2 linked regions of the Tribolium castaneum genome follow. The protein of the gene in region 2 purifies or fractionates together with the protein of the main gene of each other region. This does not show direct contact. Links are inferred from orthologs where the notes say so. Each region holds a gene or a part of one and is shown on either strand. Other genes may lie near its edges. The genes, in order: Not1 and Not10.

Region 1 (4,589 bases), on a different chromosome or scaffold from region 2:
GAAAGACACTGTTGATGACCTTACAAACGCCAAAACTATGTTAGAGGGTGAAAAATTTGCCCTAGACTATGAGCTGAGGCGCTGCACTAATGAAATTGCCGAAATGAAAAAGGAAATTGCTGCTTTGACTGAAAACAGGAACAATTTGTTGAAAGAATCGGTAGATAATGGGCACACTATTCAAAAATTGAAAGACGAAATTCTCAATTATAAAAAATGTATTAAAGTGATGGAACAAAATAAATTAGAGATTGAAAAACAACTGGAAAACACTCAGAAGCAGCTGAATGATGCAAAACAGGAGACCATAGACTTGCAAAAGACAGTCAATGGAGTAAATGAAGATGTGGTGCGGAAAAAGTTATTCAAAGAGTTGTCAGACGTTGAAAGTGGTTTGGAACAAGATAAAAGAAACAGCGATAGTAGGTTTGTGTTTTAAATTTACTACTCCTATCCCTGAACTTGTAGTTGTGACCAGCGACGTGTTTCAAAAATGTTTGCAAGCACAGCTCTTGAAAACCGAATTGTTGTTGCGTGATCGGTTGCAAGAAGAAAATTCAAAGAAAATGGAAAAAATCGAAGAGGAATACAAGAAAGTCATTCAACAGCGGTCCGATTTGTATCACAAGGAGAAGGAAAAGTGGAAGATTCAGGAAGCAAATTATCGCAAACAGTTTGCTGCAGTTTTGGAGGAATGTGGGCGTAAGATGGAAACTTTAGAAAAGGAAAACATTGAGTTAGCCAAGCGCTTGCACATCCTCATCCAGGAGTGCAAAACGTATAAAAGTAGCAACATCGCGGTTCTGGACAAGTATAACAAACTGGCCACGAACCATAAAAAAGCTTTTGAGGTACCGATTTTTTCTTCAAGTAAGAGCAATTCATCGTTTTATTACAGGATTTAAACAAGCGATGGGCGTCCCTTTTGGAAGCGTATATGTATAATGCAACAAAAATTGAAAAGCAGACCAACAAGAACGTGAAAAATGTCCTGAAAAAAATGGTTTTAAATGACCGAGAGGTAATAACATGCTACGTGTAACGCATTTCTTGTTTATTTAATCAATCTCTATTCCAGATTCAATTAATAGAAAATATTTATAAGGAAAAGATGAAGAAAATAGTTGCTGAGAGGCATAGCAAATCCTGAAAGCTTCATCTTCATTTTCAATATTCTACATGTTTTAATTACAATTTGTATTTTGAACAGTTAAGAAATAAAGAAATATATCTTTGCCAGTTCGTTTTATTTTTATCTGTCCTTTATTCACACTGAGTGATAAGATAACATGCGATAAGTAAATGGAGATAACGTTTTTATTTTGAATTCGGGTGAAAAGAGCGGGTAGAACTTACCGTTCATGACGTGAGGTGCCGCTGCAGTTTCAAATTCGGATCATTAGTTTTCTTCGGCTTTCGAAGCACATGTGAAAAGTTGACGTTTTCCTGCCATTTTCGTGCGTGTTCCGGGTGGTGTAGTTTTTTTTTGCGCGTCTTTTCTGGAAAAATAATCAAAATACACGTAACTATAACCACACATCCCCTCAGGATAGTGAGCTCGTTGTTGGTCATGCGTAGTTTCATACATATGTTTTATTCGATGCATGTGTTGTGTGTTGCGTGAGTCAAAAGATGATTCTGGTAAATTAAAGTGGTGAAAAGTACATTAAAGATTCGATGATGGTCTTGGACCATTTAAAATTTAGTTGTTTTTCAAAAATACATAAGACTTTGTGGATAAAAGCCCCGTGCATACCTAAGAAAGCTTCAAAAGTATTTGAAGCTTTCGAGGCCGTGTTCATGGAACTATGAACCTAGACTCGTTGTCTTTTACCTTGTCACAAATAAGTTATTTAGTTGCATCATTAACCAAAAAGAACTACAAGCAAGTCGTTGCCGAACTCTCAAAGGTAAGAGTAGCGGAAAATTTGAACCGTTGCAAATGCGTGGACTAAAATTATCAGATTGACAAATCGGCCATCTTTTCCATGCCAGCTGTCACGCACAGTTACCGATCGAGCAATGTTGTGGTGAACAAAGGTGTTTTGATTGTTATTATTTTTTTCGTTCACGTTCTTGCAAAATGTCATTCAGATTATCAGAGTGCTTCTTATCACTTAAACAGCTTTTAAATTTGATCAAACGTTCGTTTTATAGTTGGTAACTTTGCATGGTCTGGAGGCGGACCGTCACTTGCTCCAATGTCTATTTTCATCAGTGGACTTTTCTGAATCTACAAGCAAAATAACCGCTCCATCTCCCCAAAATCAAGCATTGTTAGAGCAGTGTTCGAACTTGTTGAACAAACCCTCGCTGCTGACGTCTGTTTGCTACATCACAGACAATCCATTGAGCACCAACAAGGTAACAAAACCGCTTCGGTGGGTCACTTTTTCTGCAGCGGTTCCGTTACAGGCTTTCAAATTCGGACCCCAGTTCTTCCAGCAGTTGAGCAAGTGCCTTCGCCTCTCAGCTGTCCAGGAAGTCGTTTTCGCTCTCGCCCTTCGCCACTCTTCAAACCAGGAAGTTTCGTCTTTAGCCCAGGCACATTTACGGTTAACGGTTCCGACTCTCATCCAGTCGTATATCGAGACTGAAGGCAGCACCCGCCAGCACGAAGGGGGCCTCCACGAGACCACCCCCGAGGTCCTCCACTTGATCCTCTCCGCTGTTCTGAAAGCCCCCAAAGACGTTGGGCTCACCAACAACGCGCACCGGGCGTTTCTCGACACTCTCCAGCGCGACTTCCCCAAAGACCTCGTTCCCGTAGTGTTAGCACCGTTAGTTTACCCCGAACATTGTGAATTGTCGCCGGAAATGTCATCCGAAGGCCCCGGTTTATCCGGGGGCATGTTAGAGACTTCGCTGGCCGATCTGGTGGCTGAGATCGGTTTCGGTTTTACTTCGTCGGTGGAAGAATGTCGGAACAACTTGATGAAGCTTGGGGGACGCGACATCACCCCTGCAACAGTCGCTCGGATCCTTACCGTTATGTGCCGAACACACAGTGGCCTTGAAGATTCACTCAGTCTACAATCGCCAGGCAGTTTTAATAAGGGCAATGAGGGGCGCACTTGGAACGTGGAGGTTTTCGTCCAGGCGTTGAAAGAGGTCGTGCCGAACTTTCAATGGGCCAACACTGTGGCCGAGTTGGACCATCCCGAATTTATTATTAAAGATAGACAAGGACTCATTATTCTAATAAGTGCACTTCGACATGGCCTCCAGACGCTGGGATTCCACCCGGAAACTTTTCCAATTGACCAATTTTATAAGAGATGGACGAACGTCGAGGGGCAGTTCAGTCTCGTTCAACATGTTCTCAAAAATCCAGATGTGTTCTGTTTTGCTGACTATCCCGCGATGACCGTCAGTGTTGACGTTCTCAAAACACCACCGGAACAAGACAGCAAGGAACTGGCCAATTGGAGATCGTTAAATCTGGTCGAGTTGCTCCTGCACATGTCTGAATGTGGCTTGTTCACTTACGTTCAAGAACTGTTCAAATATCCAATGCACAACTGTCCTGATGTCTTAGTCCTCGCATTGTTACAAATACAAGGGCCTGTAACGCTCCTCAGACAAGAATTACTCTCCAACTTGATCCCAATCTTTCTCCTGAATCACCCAAACTCTGCCATAATACTACACCATGCCTGGCACACCACCAACATCAATATCAAATCCATAATAATGCATGCCATGGCCGAATGGTATGTGCGAAGCGACTGCGATCAAACGAGACTGTCCCGAATTCTGGACGTTGCCCAAGACCTGAAAGCCCTCTCAATGCTCCTAAACGCCCAAAACCAACAATCTTATCCGTTCATCATCGACTTGGCTTGTCTTGCATCCAGACGTGAGTACCTCAAGCTGGAAAAGTGGCTCTCGGATAAAATCAGAGAACACGGCGAGCCTTTTGTCCAAGCTTGCGTCAAGTTTTTGCACCGCCGTTGCCCGCAAATCCTGGGCAAAAGTGACGACGCTATGACCAAAGCTTCGTCCCTACCCAACGAAACTTTGACCACGATTATGATTTGTTTGCAATCTTGCATGAACAGCGTCAGTCCCGAGTGCCAAGAGGCGATAATCAACGTCACCACCGGTTGCAGTATTTTACTGAAATCGCGTCAACAGCCGGCTCTTGTTAGGTCCAGGGGCGTTGAAGGCCCGTTCAGTGTTTCGGCAATGTCGGGACAGCTTTACAACCACTCTGCTGTCGATACTATTCCCGGTTTGACCACGAATTTGGCCAGCATGACAATGTCGGGGCCCACTAGTTCGGCGTTTAATTTGCAAGGGGGACTCGGGCCGCTAGTGCAGTCTCCCGGGTCTCCTTCGCGGATTTTGGGTGCTGGTCCTTCAAACAGTCCGTTTCCGATGATGCCGTTGCAACATCAGGGACCAGTAGGGACCAGTTCGTCGCTGGTTTTGGGAGTTAATCAAATCGGGAATATTGGAAGGATGGGCCCGGCTTCGAATATTGATAAAAGCAGGATTCCTGAATATAACTTGTTCCCGGAAATGTCGCCCAACGTATCGAAGGATATTGAAGACGAAGCTAATAGCTATTTTCAAAGGATTTACAA
Region 2 (4,429 bases):
ATAATTTCATGATTCTTGAGCACTTGAGCTAGATGGACCGTCATCGTCGTTTTCATACTGAAGAGACTGTGCTTGACTTGAACTGTTTTGCCTATTCCTCCCTACAACCAACATTACATTTTTTTTTCAAAAACTTTAATACCAACCTGACGGCTTAAACGGCCCCTTAATCCGACAAGTATTGTAAGAACCGCAATGAATACACTTGCAACCAATCACGTGAAACTTTACAGTTCCTTCCTAAATGAGTCAAAGTTACAACAAGCCATACAATTTTACCATATCACCTTATGACAATCCTTGCATAAAATTTGCACTAAATAACAGTTATACTGTGGCGGCATTGGCGTATGAGCAACTTCATTATCAAGATACTTCCACAACTGGGTCATATCCATAAGGGACGTCTGACATATGGGACAAGCATAATGTCCCGCTTTGAGTAATTGGTTGAAACAAGTGCGGTGTAACAAATGGCCACACATTGGAATATGGCATGGAATTCTGGAAGTATGGATGTCCTCAAGACAGACAGGACAATTGGCGCGCGATACGTTCTCCACACACTGCAAAAACAAGTTCGGATGTCTTACACGGCTGAAATCTAGTCTACACACGCATGCGCAGCGTTTAATTTTGGAATGGTGTTTACATGAGTTTGATATTTTTCACCCTTACTTTATGCCCGTTTTTGAGCTGGATTGGCAGGCACATGTTGCATTTCTCGCAATGGAAAAATTTGTCCGAGCCCCCAATCCTGCAAATGCCACAGCCAGAGCAATGGAACTGGTTCTTGTCTTCATCGTCGAAAAGATTGCACTCCAAGCAAGTGTACTGAAACAGGCGCTTAAATTGCATCAGAATCATTTCCCACGGACTTACTTTGCCAAATCTGATGCCACAGTTCTGACACTCTGCTTGAACAGGCTGCCTTTTCTCGCATATCGTGCAGATTAACTCCGTGACTTCTTTCCTGTTCACTGAGTGATCCTCCTTTTCGTCGTGACAGAACCGACAAGTGTACACTTTCTTGCAGCACGGAGTCTTGAAAAGAAAACACGACGTGATTGAGTCAATAATTGGCGCTAATTCAATTAAACTCAATAAACAACATTGGCCGGACGGTCTGTTCTAGCAAAAACTCACCACGAATTTGGATTTTCTTTTGTAATGGGAGCAGCCAATTGGCTTAATTGCCTCTTCGGGTGGCCCCTCAGCGACCGGAGTAGCTGCCCCTTCCATCATCCGCCGGGATTTGATTAAACGCCGCCGTATGACTGTGCAATTCGAGAAAATCTGTTTCTGGCACTAATTTTAGAAATACGACAGCATACGGAATAAATTAGAGGCGATCTTGAACTAAATAAATAAACGGGTAGGCAACACGGATTGCCTCCCAAATGTCAATTTCATTCAGGGAGAAAAAAACACTAGAATTGTTACTAGCAAATCACATTCGGTTGGCCAACTTGTATGAATTTTTACAGGATTTTTTCAAATTTCTTGCAAAGTTTACACTCATTGATGATCAAATAATTCAGACGACATTTAAAGCCGAAAAACGATCAAATTTTTTCTGTGGTATTTTCGTGTATTCAAAATTTAAATCTTGGACTTCACGAGTCGCCACTGACCTGTCAAAAAATTTTTTTTCGAAAATTTTTTGGAACTAAAGATTTGAATTATTTCACAGAAATATAACAACGAACTTAAACTTCCATTAACGTAAATTTTACGATCCGTAGGTTTTTTACAGTAGTGAAAGTCGGGTTTATTGTTACATAACCTCACTTATAGAAAGCTTGTGAATAAAAAAGTAGTGCCTGTGTTTGCAAAAAATCCAATAAATACAATGGCTGAGAAAGAAGAGTTTGAACGAGCTGTGGACGTTGTAACAGAGCAGGAGCAGGAATATGCACAAAAGGCTTTGAATGAGTTTAAAAAGTATGTTTAAGGCTTCCAAAAAAAACGAAAACTATTGACCCTTTTGTAGAAATAATTACGCCGGTGCGCTCCAATTTATCAATAAACTGGACAATAGAACTAACGATTTTAAAGTGGCCCACAATAAAGCTCTTGTGGAATATTGCAAAAGCGATTTTAGGAAGAACGAAACATTTCAAAAGAATTTAACCTCAATTTGCAATCAAGTATTACAGTCGTCCTCCTGGTGGGAATCTTTTAATAAGGCTCATTAACTTTTAGTTTAAGATTCGTCTCGATAAATTAGATGATGTGGACCAATGCATTGTTCATTATAATCAGGCCATTCTGTTATATCATCAACAACAGTACACTAATGCAATTTACATAATGGATCGAGTGTACAAATTTATTGAACCAATGGGTACAATTTTTCCAACGTGACTGTTTGTTTTTAATTTACTTTGTTACAGATGACGCATTAGCCAAACAAGTTAGTCTTTTTGCCATTGAGTTACAGCTATGTGTGCGTCAGTCTGATAAAGCGCTCAGTTTAATAAATTATCTGGAAAATCAATTAATCAACGGGACGCCAAACATCAAATTGTTGGACAAAACCGTTAAAGAGAAAGACAAGAAAGCGCCACAGCCCCTAGACCCAGCAATGGAAGAGTTTAAGAAAAAACTAATTAAATACAAAATCCGTTGTTACCTAATGAACCACAATCTCGAAATCGCAAACAAAGAAATCAGCAATTTGCTAAAAGACAAACAGAATTTCCAAGCCTTGTTCCTGGCAGCTAATTTAGAATACCTCAAAGGAAACTTGATAGAGTCCCAGAAACTTCTTGCGGCTGTACCACCCGATTATCTGGTCTACAAGTAAAATTCTATATTTTTTTAATATTTTTTTGCATTTGAATTTATTTAGCGACAGCGGCGAATCTTCAACTTTGATGTTTTACAACAATATGGGTGTGATTCATCACGCAATGGGCAAACCCAACTTGGCTTGCCACTACTTTCAGTTAGCCCTCAAGGAGGATATAGCTTTAACAAACAATGCAAAAAAAGACAAAGGCATGGATGACAAACCCTTGTATGCACTGGGTGGCTCAAAATACCACGAATTGATGTATAATTTGGGAGTTTCTCTTCTTCATGCCAAGAGGCCGGTTCAGGCGTTTGATTGCTTGATAATTGCAGTGCGGAGGTACCACAGAAACGCGAGGTTGTGGATGCGCTTAGCTGAGTGTTGTATTATGGCCACTAAAGAGGTAAGGGAATGAAAATTTTTTTTTAGTTTTATGTCTGGTTTCGGAGAATTTGTACGAAATTTCTGATCAAAGTGACCTATGATTAAGTTGGCAACAATAACTATATCGAGAAAGGTGAAAATAATGTATGTTACGTCGACCACAGTTATCGTCTTAATTTTTCTGACTGTTTAACGAGATCTCACAAAAGTCTAAGACGTTGGTTTAAAAGGTCTAAAGACTTGAAGAACGTAAAACAATATTTCGTTAAGCTTTGTTTTATTTTTGAAGAATTTTTGATTGAATGCGAACTAGACTAAATACACAAAAGAAAAATTGCATCTTTTTTTTATACAATAAATCAGTAGGTACCTTCGGGATAAGATATTGGATTAAAAAAAAATGCGAAACATGTTTTTTACTCTGTTTTTTCAAGTTGCAACTACCAAAAGATTCTCTAAATAATTATGAATAATTAATCTTTACATAAATAATAATTGACCAAATAAAATAAGAACAATTAAATTATTTTCATCCCAACTCTCTGACTTGTTGAGTAATTTTTAATAACAGAGTTGTGCGATATTATTGAGTTTTTTCATGAAAAACCTAAACGCAAAAGTGACACTATTCGGCGACTTTTATGCTTATTTTTCACAAACTTTAGCGAAATAATAATTGCGTTTCTACAAAAAAATGTGCAAACAAAGAACTATATTGACAAAATGATGTCATTTTCAGGACGGTTTTATAAAAAACGTCCAATTTTCAGTCCAATTTAGCGAAATGTAATTGATTAATTTAACTGCTCTTACATTTAAAAACTACTTACATGTTTACATGCCGCTTGTCCCCCTTTCGCATTTTAAATTACCTAAGACATTTTCTACAGAGTTTCGTTTTATTTGTTGGATTTTTTAGAATCATTTTCGAAATGTCATACGTCAAATTGAAAAGAGCGCGCGCATGCGCAATGATTTTCAACGAGGATCCCTTTCTTGACTAAAATAAAAGACTTTTCATCTAATATGCATTTGATATTCGTTATTTATTTCCTATCAGTGTCTCAGTTTTGCTTGTTTTTATCTAGCAGATTCTTCAATATTGCACAGAGGGGTAGAATGAATAGAAAAAGTGAGAATGTGCGACAAAGACAGACCCATTATTTTATGAATTAACGTAAAATTAGGCACGTAATTGTAAAATTTGTAAGCATTTTGATTGGGCCGTTTGAGGTCGGCCATCATGGT

The links.
Region 1: the proteins of Not10 (region 2) and Not1 purify together in Homo sapiens (affinity purification with mass spectrometry; 4 studies listed by BioGRID and IntAct, with this or other methods). This does not show direct contact. The link is inferred for Tribolium castaneum from reciprocal best matches to the Homo sapiens genes CNOT10 and CNOT1.

Annotation. Positions count from the first base shown.
Region 1 is NC_087394.1:30,458,251-30,462,839, reverse strand, and holds the start of Not1 (CCR4-NOT transcription complex subunit 1), read left to right. Parts: upstream 1-1,493; 5' UTR 1,494-1,808; coding exon 1,809-1,910; exon of another isoform or gene 1,911-1,975; intron 1,976-2,157; coding exon 2,158-4,589. Other genes in the region: putative leucine-rich repeat-containing protein DDB_G0290503, read left to right, coding at 1-422, 469-851, 899-1,021, 1,079-1,150.
Region 2 is NC_087396.1:15,622,066-15,626,494, forward strand, and holds the start of Not10 (CCR4-NOT transcription complex subunit 10), read left to right. Parts: upstream 1-1,594; 5' UTR 1,595-1,741; exon of another isoform or gene 1,742-1,797; 5' UTR 1,798-1,852; coding exon 1,853-1,944; intron 1,945-1,993; coding exon 1,994-2,150; intron 2,151-2,205; coding exon 2,206-2,347; intron 2,348-2,396; coding exon 2,397-2,805; intron 2,806-2,854; coding exon 2,855-3,200; intron 3,201-4,429. Other genes in the region: Rchy1 (RING finger and CHY zinc finger domain-containing protein 1), read right to left, coding at 7-101, 147-240, 288-566, 679-834, 883-1,044, 1,147-1,245. UniProt on the Homo sapiens protein: Component of the CCR4-NOT complex which is one of the major cellular mRNA deadenylases and is linked to various cellular processes including bulk mRNA degradation, miRNA-mediated repression, translational repression during translational initiation and general transcription regulation.